Macaca fascicularis: one gene and its partner. The protein of the gene in region 1 purifies or fractionates together with the protein of each later gene. This does not show direct contact. Links are inferred from orthologs where the notes say so. Each region holds a gene or a part of one and is shown on either strand. Other genes may lie near its edges.

Evidence for each region.
Region 2: the proteins of ZYX (region 1) and ENAH purify together in Homo sapiens (co-immunoprecipitation; 4 studies listed by BioGRID and IntAct, counting the BioPlex papers as one, with this or other methods). This does not show direct contact. The link is inferred for Macaca fascicularis from reciprocal best matches to the Homo sapiens genes ZYX and ENAH.

What each region holds. Positions count from the first base shown.
Region 1 is NC_088377.1:185,243,855-185,248,336, forward strand, and holds the start of ZYX (zyxin), read left to right. Parts: upstream 1-1,462; 5' UTR 1,463-1,532; intron 1,533-1,674; 5' UTR 1,675-1,689; coding exon 1,690-1,897; intron 1,898-2,363; coding exon 2,364-2,563; intron 2,564-2,706; coding exon 2,707-2,799; intron 2,800-2,914; coding exon 2,915-3,436; intron 3,437-4,482. UniProt on the Homo sapiens protein: Adhesion plaque protein. Binds alpha-actinin and the CRP protein. Important for targeting TES and ENA/VASP family members to focal adhesions and for the formation of actin-rich structures.
Region 2 is NC_088375.1:83,404,213-83,408,018, reverse strand, and holds part of ENAH (protein enabled homolog), read left to right. Parts: intron 1-1,385; coding exon 1,386-1,531; intron 1,532-1,687; coding exon 1,688-1,745; intron 1,746-2,519; coding exon 2,520-2,568; intron 2,569-3,806. UniProt on the Homo sapiens protein: Ena/VASP proteins are actin-associated proteins involved in a range of processes dependent on cytoskeleton remodeling and cell polarity such as axon guidance and lamellipodial and filopodial dynamics in migrating cells.

The DNA of each region.
Region 1 (4,482 bases):
CTATCCTGCCCAGTGTTGCTTCAAGGCAAAAAGATTTGACACCAGTTTCAGTTTAGATCCTGCCTCTACCTGGGTGTGACCCGGGTCCATCTCCAGCTCGGCCTCTGCTTTCTCTTCATAAACTTTTGGTGTTAGTCTTCGGATGATCTCTAAAACATGGCCCAGGTGTTCCTTGCCAGTAGAGTGTAGTCAGATTTGGAGGGACTGGACACTCAGGGTGAACAAGAGGAAGGCCTCAGGAGGCAGTAAAAGCTGACAAGAGGAGATAAAATGAAGCGCCTAGGGATGCATATTGGACTAGCGGGCGAAAGGCCATGACTCCTTAGTTTGCAGATAGTGAGTGGGAAAGAACTGGGGCCGAGATTGGGTAAGTTTCCCAGCGCAATTAAAAAAAAAGAAGAAGAAGAAGAAGAAGAACTAGAAGAATTACCCGGGTCCGGCCTCTTTCGCGTAGCCTGGGGCTGAGTCGCAGGCTGAGAAATCTGGTCGGGCCAGTAGGGGGCTCCACCAAGCGCAGTCTCAGAATGCCCAAGAGCCCCACCGTCGCCCGGGGTCTTCTAGAGGAGTGGGTAGTGGTGGGCGCTGAAGAGCTGTAAAAGACTAGCAGCCCGCGTCCGCGTCCGTCCTCCCGGGTCCCCAGTCCGCAGGCGGCCGCCGCCTCGGCCCCGCCCTCCCACCTCCATTCCCGGCCCCGCGGGCCCGAACGGTCCCTCTCGCAACCGATCCTATGGCGGGGGCGCGGAGGATGCGAATTCCTAGAAGCCTTAAGAGGCTGCCCAGCGTTGGAAGTTCGTATCCCCGAGAATGCTGGAGGTTCCAGCTCACACACCCGCTCCGGGCACAGAGTCAGCTGGGGGGTGCTGGGAGGGAGAACGCCCCGCTCCTCATCCCCCATCCTTGTGCACCCTGGAGCCCAGCTCCATACGTTCGGCCACCCCAGGCGGACTCGGAGGTGGTCGGGTAGCGGGTGGTGGCGGGAGGGGACCGGGTAACTGCAGGCCGGAGAGGAGGTCGCTGGGCCGGGCCGGAGGCGCACAGGGGCTGCGTGGCTACCTCTGCGGCACCCGCCCCACCTCCGCCGGCTAAGCCCGGAGGGGGACTGTGAGTCAGATCTCGGGCACCCGCGGGTCGGGCATGGGGGGAGGGCAGGTCAGGAAATGACATCAGAGGCCTGTGCTCAGGGAGCGGGGGTCTGAGCCGGGCCGGGGCGGCGGGGGCGGCAGTGAGTGGAGTGGGGTGGCGGCGGGCGGACCTCGGCGGAGCCTCTGGCCTGAGGCAGGATCAGGGCCCCTTCCTGGGGGAGTTTCCTGCCTGGTCCGCCCTTCCCCGCTCTCCCCGCCCCCTCTCCGGGCCGCTCCTTGTATGGTCTGGGCGCCGCTCTCTCCCCGCCCCCTCCCTCCTCCCTCCCTCCTCCTTCCGTGTGTCCCTCCCCGCCCGGCTGGAGGCTGCTCCGGACTGGGACGCAGAGTCCGTGGACCCGGCGCCGAGGAGGCCACCCGAGACGCGGCGCGCACGCTCCGGCCCGCGGTGAGGTGCGGGGAGCGGCAGGGCGGCCCCACGGGGAGGGGGCGCGGGGCGCCGGGAGGGGGCGCATGGGGGTCGCCAAGGGGAGCTGGGACCGCCCGGGGCTCCTGAGCCGGGCTCTGCGCTGCGTAACCCGGCGACCCACCCCAGCAGCCCGGCCCGGCCATGGCGGCCCCCCGCCCGTCTCCCGCGATCTCCGTTTCGGTCTCGGCTCCGGCTTTTTACGCCCCCCAGAAGAAGTTCGGCCCTGTGGTGGCCCCAAAACCCAAAGTGAATCCCTTCCGGCCCGGGGACAGCGAGCCTCCCCCGGCACCCGGGGCCCAGCGCGCACAGATGGGCCGGGTGGGCGAGATTCCCCCGCCGCCCCCGGAAGGTATGCGGCGGGGCTTGGGGGCTGGACCCCAGCGGGCGCCGGAGGGGGGGCACTGTTTCGGGAATCTGGGGATGTCTGGAAAGGTTGTTGCCTAGGGGGCTGGGCGCAGCCACCCTGTCCCGAGCAGATGTTCTTACCTCATCGTGGAGCTCGTGGCTGGGAGCCAGAGCTCCTGGGACCGTTCCAAGTCCCCCGCTTGGGGGTGGGAGGCGGGAATGTGGGGCACGAATCTTCCCCTCCGGGTCCGTTTTCCGAAGTGTAACGGGAGCTGCACCACTCCTCGGCCGTGCCCCCGGCCTTTCCTGACCTGGTACTCCCAGGGCGCCCTGCGCCCCGCCTTTGCGTCCCCACACGCTCTGGGACCCTCGAGAGAATTCTTGGGTTAGGGGTTAGAGCGGTAAACCGAGGGGAGCTTGGGTGAGGGGCAGAGGGACCCCGGGCGACGTCTTTCTCCTTCCTACCCCAGACTTTCCCCTGCCTCCACCTCCCCTCGCCGGGGATGGCGACGATGCGGAGGGTGCTCTGGGAGGTGCCTTCCCGCCGCCCCCTCCGCCGATCGAGGAATCATTTCCCCCTGCGCCTCTGGAGGAGGAGATCTTCCCTTCCCCGCCGCCTCCTCTGGAAGAGGAGGGAGGGCCTGAGGCCCCCATACCGTCCCCACCGCAGGTATGGAGGCCTGGGAGGGGCGGCTGTACCGGACACCCCCAAGGCGAGGAGAAGAGGGCCCTTTCTTACCTCCCCTGCACCTCTGCCTTGGGGGTGGGGGGAATGGAGGCATGGAATAGGTGCTCTGACCTCTGACCCTCTAGCCCAGGGAGAAGGTGAGCAGTATTGATTTGGAGATCGACTCTCTGTCCTCACTGCTGGATGACATGACCAAGAATGATCCTTTCAAAGCTCGGGTAAGGGACCGCAAAGTAGGAAAAGCAGGGCCCAGGGCCAGAGAGACAGGGGATAGAGCTATGGAGGATGGTGTCCTCCTGTCTGCATCTCTCTTCCCTCTCCCACCCCTTGCAGGTGTCATCTGGATATGTCCCCCCACCAGTGGCCACTCCATTCATTTCCAAGTCCAGTACTAAGCCTGCAGCTGGGGGCACAGCACCCCTGCCTCCTTGGAAGGCCCCTTCCAGCTCCCAGCCTCTGCCCCAGGTTCCGGCTCCAGCTCAGAGCCAGACACAGTTCCATGTTCAGCCCCAGCCCCAGCCCAAGCCTCAGGTCCAACTCCATGTCCAGTCCCAGCCCCAGCCTGTGTCTTTGGCTAACACCCAGCCCCGAGGTCCCCCAGCCTCATCGCCAGCTCCAGCCCCTAAGTTTTCTCCAGTGACTCCTAAGTTTACTCCCGTGGCTTCCAAGTTCAGTCCTGGAGCCCCAGGTGGATCTGGGTCACAGCCAAATCAAAAATTGGGGCATCCCGAAGCTCTTTCCGCTGGCACAGGCTCCCCTCAACCTCCCAGCTTCACCTATGCTCAGCAGAGGGAGAAGCCCCGAGTGCAGGAGAAGCAGCACCCAGTGCCCGCACCGGCTCAGAACCAAAACCAGGTAAGGGATGGTGATAGGACAAGGCTTGGGACCCGGGTGCTGGGGCGGGGCTGAGTCAGGAGCCAGAACAGAAGCATGAAGGTGATTGGAGAGTCAGGGTGGACACGGGGGTGGCGGGACAGGAAGTTTCATCCTCTGAGGTTAGCCTGGTGGAACAGTGGTAAGAAAATGCTCTTCTGGAGGAGAGGCCTGGCTGGGTGTGGGGCTGGGTGGGGCCTGGCTGGGAGGGCACAGAGAGCACAGGCTCTGAATTAGGAGGATCTGGTGGACCTTTCCTTGCGCCTTTACCCCAGAAAGTTAAAGGGAGGGATGAGATCACCAGTCCCACCTTGGTTTTTCCCATTCTTGGGTCTTGAGTTAATCTCCCTGCTCCTCTGAGCACTCTTTCTGCCTGAGGGCTTGGAGATAAGAGTCAGCCCCAGTAAACATTGGCTGAGCCAGCATCTACCACGTGCCAGGCACTGTGCTCTGTGCTCAGGAGGGTAGGACATGGGAAGGACGAGATCTCTGCAAGAAGCTCAGCCTTCAGGTGTCAGATGGACCTGGAATGGAATTCCTGGTTCGGGCTTCTCCCAAGCCCTTAGACTGGGCAAGTTAGGTGAACCCTGAGCCTCAGTTTCTCAATCTTTAACATTATCTACTCCATACAGTGGTTGTAAAGATTAGGTGAACTAATAACCTAGAGAGTGTTGGGTTCTGTATCTAGCACATGAATGCTCAAAATACAAAAGCTGTAATTACAAAATGGTTCTTGCCTTCTAGTTCAGGAAATAAGACCTTCCAGTTTCTGGTGATGATGATGCTGGTCCAAGCATCCATAGAGTCCACTGATAGTGTGGATGTCTACTTACACTCAGACACAGCATAGGAAGAAATGCCAAGGACCAGTGAGCTTTGCAGAATCCTGTGAGTCACAGGCACTCAGACCAGGAAGTCCACTTGGGGCCTGGCAAATTAGGAGAGGCTTCGAAGGATGGGCAGGACGTAAGAATCCGGAGAGGAGAGGGATGTTTGGAGAGCAGAAAGTGGAAGGTTCCTGTAGGAAA
Region 2 (3,806 bases), on another chromosome or scaffold:
CCTGAGGTCAGGAGTTAGAGACCAGGCTGGCCAACATGGTGAAACCCTATCTCACTAAAAATACAAAACTTAGCCAGGTGTGTGACACGTGCCTATAATCCCAGCTGTTCAGGAGGCGGAGGCAGGAGAATCACTGGAACCCGGGAGGTAGAGGTTGCAGTGAACCGAGATCGTGCCACTGCACTCCAGCCTGGGTGACAGAGTGAGACTTAGTTTCAAAACATAAAATAAATAAAAAATTAAGAATTGATATAATTAAAATTTTTATAGTAAAGTTGTAAAAATAGTATAAATAATTTCTATAAATTAATCACGTAGGTTCACCCATCAACATTTTACCAGTATTTGCTTTTTTATTCCTTCTTCGGGTATGTTTCCTTCTTTACACATGCATTTTTTTTTTTTCTTTTGAGACGGAGTTTCACTCTTGTTATCCAGACTGGAGTGCAGTGGCGCGATCTCAGCTCACTGCAATCTCCACCTCCCAGGTTCAAGCGATTCTGCCTCAGCCTCCTGAGTAGCTGGGATCACAGGCGCCAACCACCATGCCCAGCTAATTTTTGTATTTTTAGTAGAGATAGGGTTTCGTGATGTTGACCAGGCTGGTCTTGAAATCCTGACCTCAGGTGATCCACCCGCCTCAGCCTCCCAAAATGCTGGGATTACAGTTGTGAGCCATCGCACCTGGCCTACACATGCACTTTTGTTTGAATGATTTGAGAGTAACTCAGAGACACAAGCTTCTATTTTCCTAAGTACCTCAGTGTGAATTTTATAAGAACAAGGACATTTACCTGCATAACCAGTAATGTAATTATCAAAATCAGGAAAGTTAACATTGATAGAATACTGTAATCTACAAATGTATTAATATTCAAATTTCATCTATAGTCCAATGACGTCTTTAGTGACAGTTTTTTTCATAGTGCAAGATCATTATTGCATTTAGTTCTAATGTCTCTTTGATCTACTTTATGATAATTCCTCAATCTTTCAGAATACTAGCATTTTTGAAGACTGTAGGCAGTTATTTTGCCTGGTATCCTTCAGTTTGGCTTATCTGATTTTTCCTCAAGATTAGATTCAAGTTATGCAGGGGTTGTTTTAGCAGGAATATTATCAAAGCAAAGTTATGCCCTTTTCAGGGCAACACAGGAAGAGACACATGATACTGTTTCATTGCATTCTTGTTGATAGTAGTTTTGATAAACTCTTGTTGGTATATAAAATCAATACTGAAAATCTATTGGTTCTTAAAGCTTACAAATAATATTTAGGTTTTTAAAAATTAATGCTGATGTTTCCTTCTGTTTTAGATGTAATATATTAATAAAAATACGGTTGTCTAACATAGGAGTTGATTATGTCTGTGTATTCTCATTAAGATGGAGGATGCCTCTTTCCCAAGTGGAGGGAATGCTATTGGTGTGAACTCGGCCTCATCTAAAGCAGATACAGGCCGTGGAAATGGACCCCTTCCTTTAGGGGGTAGTGGTTTAATGGAAGAAATGAGTGCCCTGCTGGCCAGGAGGTAAGGAATTTCATTATAATGGACATGCCCAGAATTGAGAGGATTTTAATTTTATTCCGAATACAACTAACTAGATGCACTTCTTTCCTCATAGAGAAGTGGTTTTTATACTGAATCAGATAATATTTTTAAAAATTGGATTTGCCTTCTTTGTAGGAGAAGAATTGCTGAAAAGGGATCAACAGTAGAAACAGAACAGAAAGAGGACAAAGGTGTAAGTTAATAAAGATAGTCTATCTTAAAATATGGTATTCAAGCACAGCCCATTCAGGAAATAGTGTCAGCATTTATTTAATTTGAACTTAATTAGCTTGAACTTATATTTGCTAATTTTTAACTATTTATGCATGTGAAGTGGCTTGTTTTGACTGTTATTTATAAATTTTAAATGGCAGTCTTAGTAAAATGAGTTGAGTATTTGGAGTTGTGGGAAAAGCATTGAAGTTCAAACCTGTGGAGTTTAATTCTGTTCCTTAAATGAGTGAATGACATTTCATTTCCCTTGCATTAATTTAAAAGGAAGGAATTAGCCTAAATTCATATATTTCCCCTAGGAGCTCGATGGTTATTGGCTGTGCCCCTTAAGAGTGTATCCTTCATGCCCTCCTCCCTGATTCAGCTGGGCACACTCTGCTTTGTCTGTGCTATATATTGGCGTGCAACAAATAATATGTTTCCCTTGCTCCATTTGGCTGCCTTTGATACCATTCCTCAAATCTGTCTCTTGTGTCTGGCTTTGTAGCATTGGCTAGTGAAAGTTCTCAGGGAGAACACATATGAGGAAAGGAACTGTGGGGAGGGTTGAAGGGGAGGTGATTGAAAACAGGAGAAGAAAGAAGTCTAAGCTGAAATGAAAGGGAGAGAAGACCGATGAAAGAGAAAGTGGGGAGTGGCAGAAAGAATATTAGAAGTGCATGTGTAAAACACTAAATGTATATAGCAGCAGGGGACTGGTAGATGTGATATTAATATGTATCTGTACATTTAGGAAGATTCAGAGCCTGTAACTTCTAAGGCCTCTTCAACAAGTACACCTGGTAAGTTCAAGATAAATATTTTAACCTTTATAAACTTTCTCTGAAAGTATTAATACTCCCCAGTTAAAAATTCCTCCTTTCCCCATGTTTGGACCAAGTGACTAGACACCAAAATGCCAGAGTTCTTTGTTCACACCTGAAAGCATTAATTAACTTTTTTCCTCCTGGAAGCTGCTGTTACTTTCTTGAGGTTACTTACTAAAACAAGGAAAATATTAATGTACTATTAGATGACGAGAAGTATTTTTCATAATTGTTTTCCTAAAGGTAAAAATAAAGTGAGCATGTTAGTTAGTACTGCAGTCTCCCTCAGAACATTCTCAAATTGAGAAGGGTATCCTAGCCATTCATTTGGGTGATATTGATAATTAAGGGAATAAAGTTTCTGATTTGTAAATTTAAAAAGTCTCCTTAAAATTTTGGGGAAGTGTTCTTGAATTCAGTGAAATTTCTGACATTGAGAATTCTTGAGCATCCAGTAAATCACCTAGATTATTAACAAAGTATATTTCACTAGAGGTACTTGATGAGTGCTGTATCCAAGATGAGAATATGAACTCATTACATATTCACAAGTTATTTCTTCATATTTGATTAAAGACTAAGGGCTGGACTATCCAACTCCTTATCTATTCTGGAATGAAACAACATAAATAAACTTGATGAGTTAATATCTAGAGTGGTCCATAGGAAACCAGTATAGAGAAATGCTTATATTCCTACAGTTTTGATTTAAAGACAACCAACTGCATCTACAGTTACCTTTTTAATTTTCATTGTTTTATTTTTTTGAGATGGGGTCTCACTCTGTTGCCCAGGCTGGAGTGCAATGGTGCGATATTGGCTCACTGCATCCTCTACCTCCTAGGCTCAAGTGATCCTCCCACCTTAGCCCCCAACCCCCCAAGTAGCTGAGGCCCCAGGTGCATAGCACCACTCCTGGCTAATTGTTTGCATTTTTGGTAGAGACAGGGTTTCACCATGTTGCCCAGGCTGGTCTCAAACTCCTGAACTCAAGTGATCCAGCTGTTTCAGTCTCCCAAAGTGCTGGGATTACAGGCATGAGCCACAATGTGCCACCTAGAATTCCCTTTGTTTTTTTTTTTTAAGTACTTCTGTTTTTGTTTTTTGTGATTGTAATCCATCTTTTCACACCCCCACCCCCCATTCCTCATTCTCATTATTAAATAGTGACTCTTCAGTAGACTGATTGCTGTACCATAATTAACATCATGGCT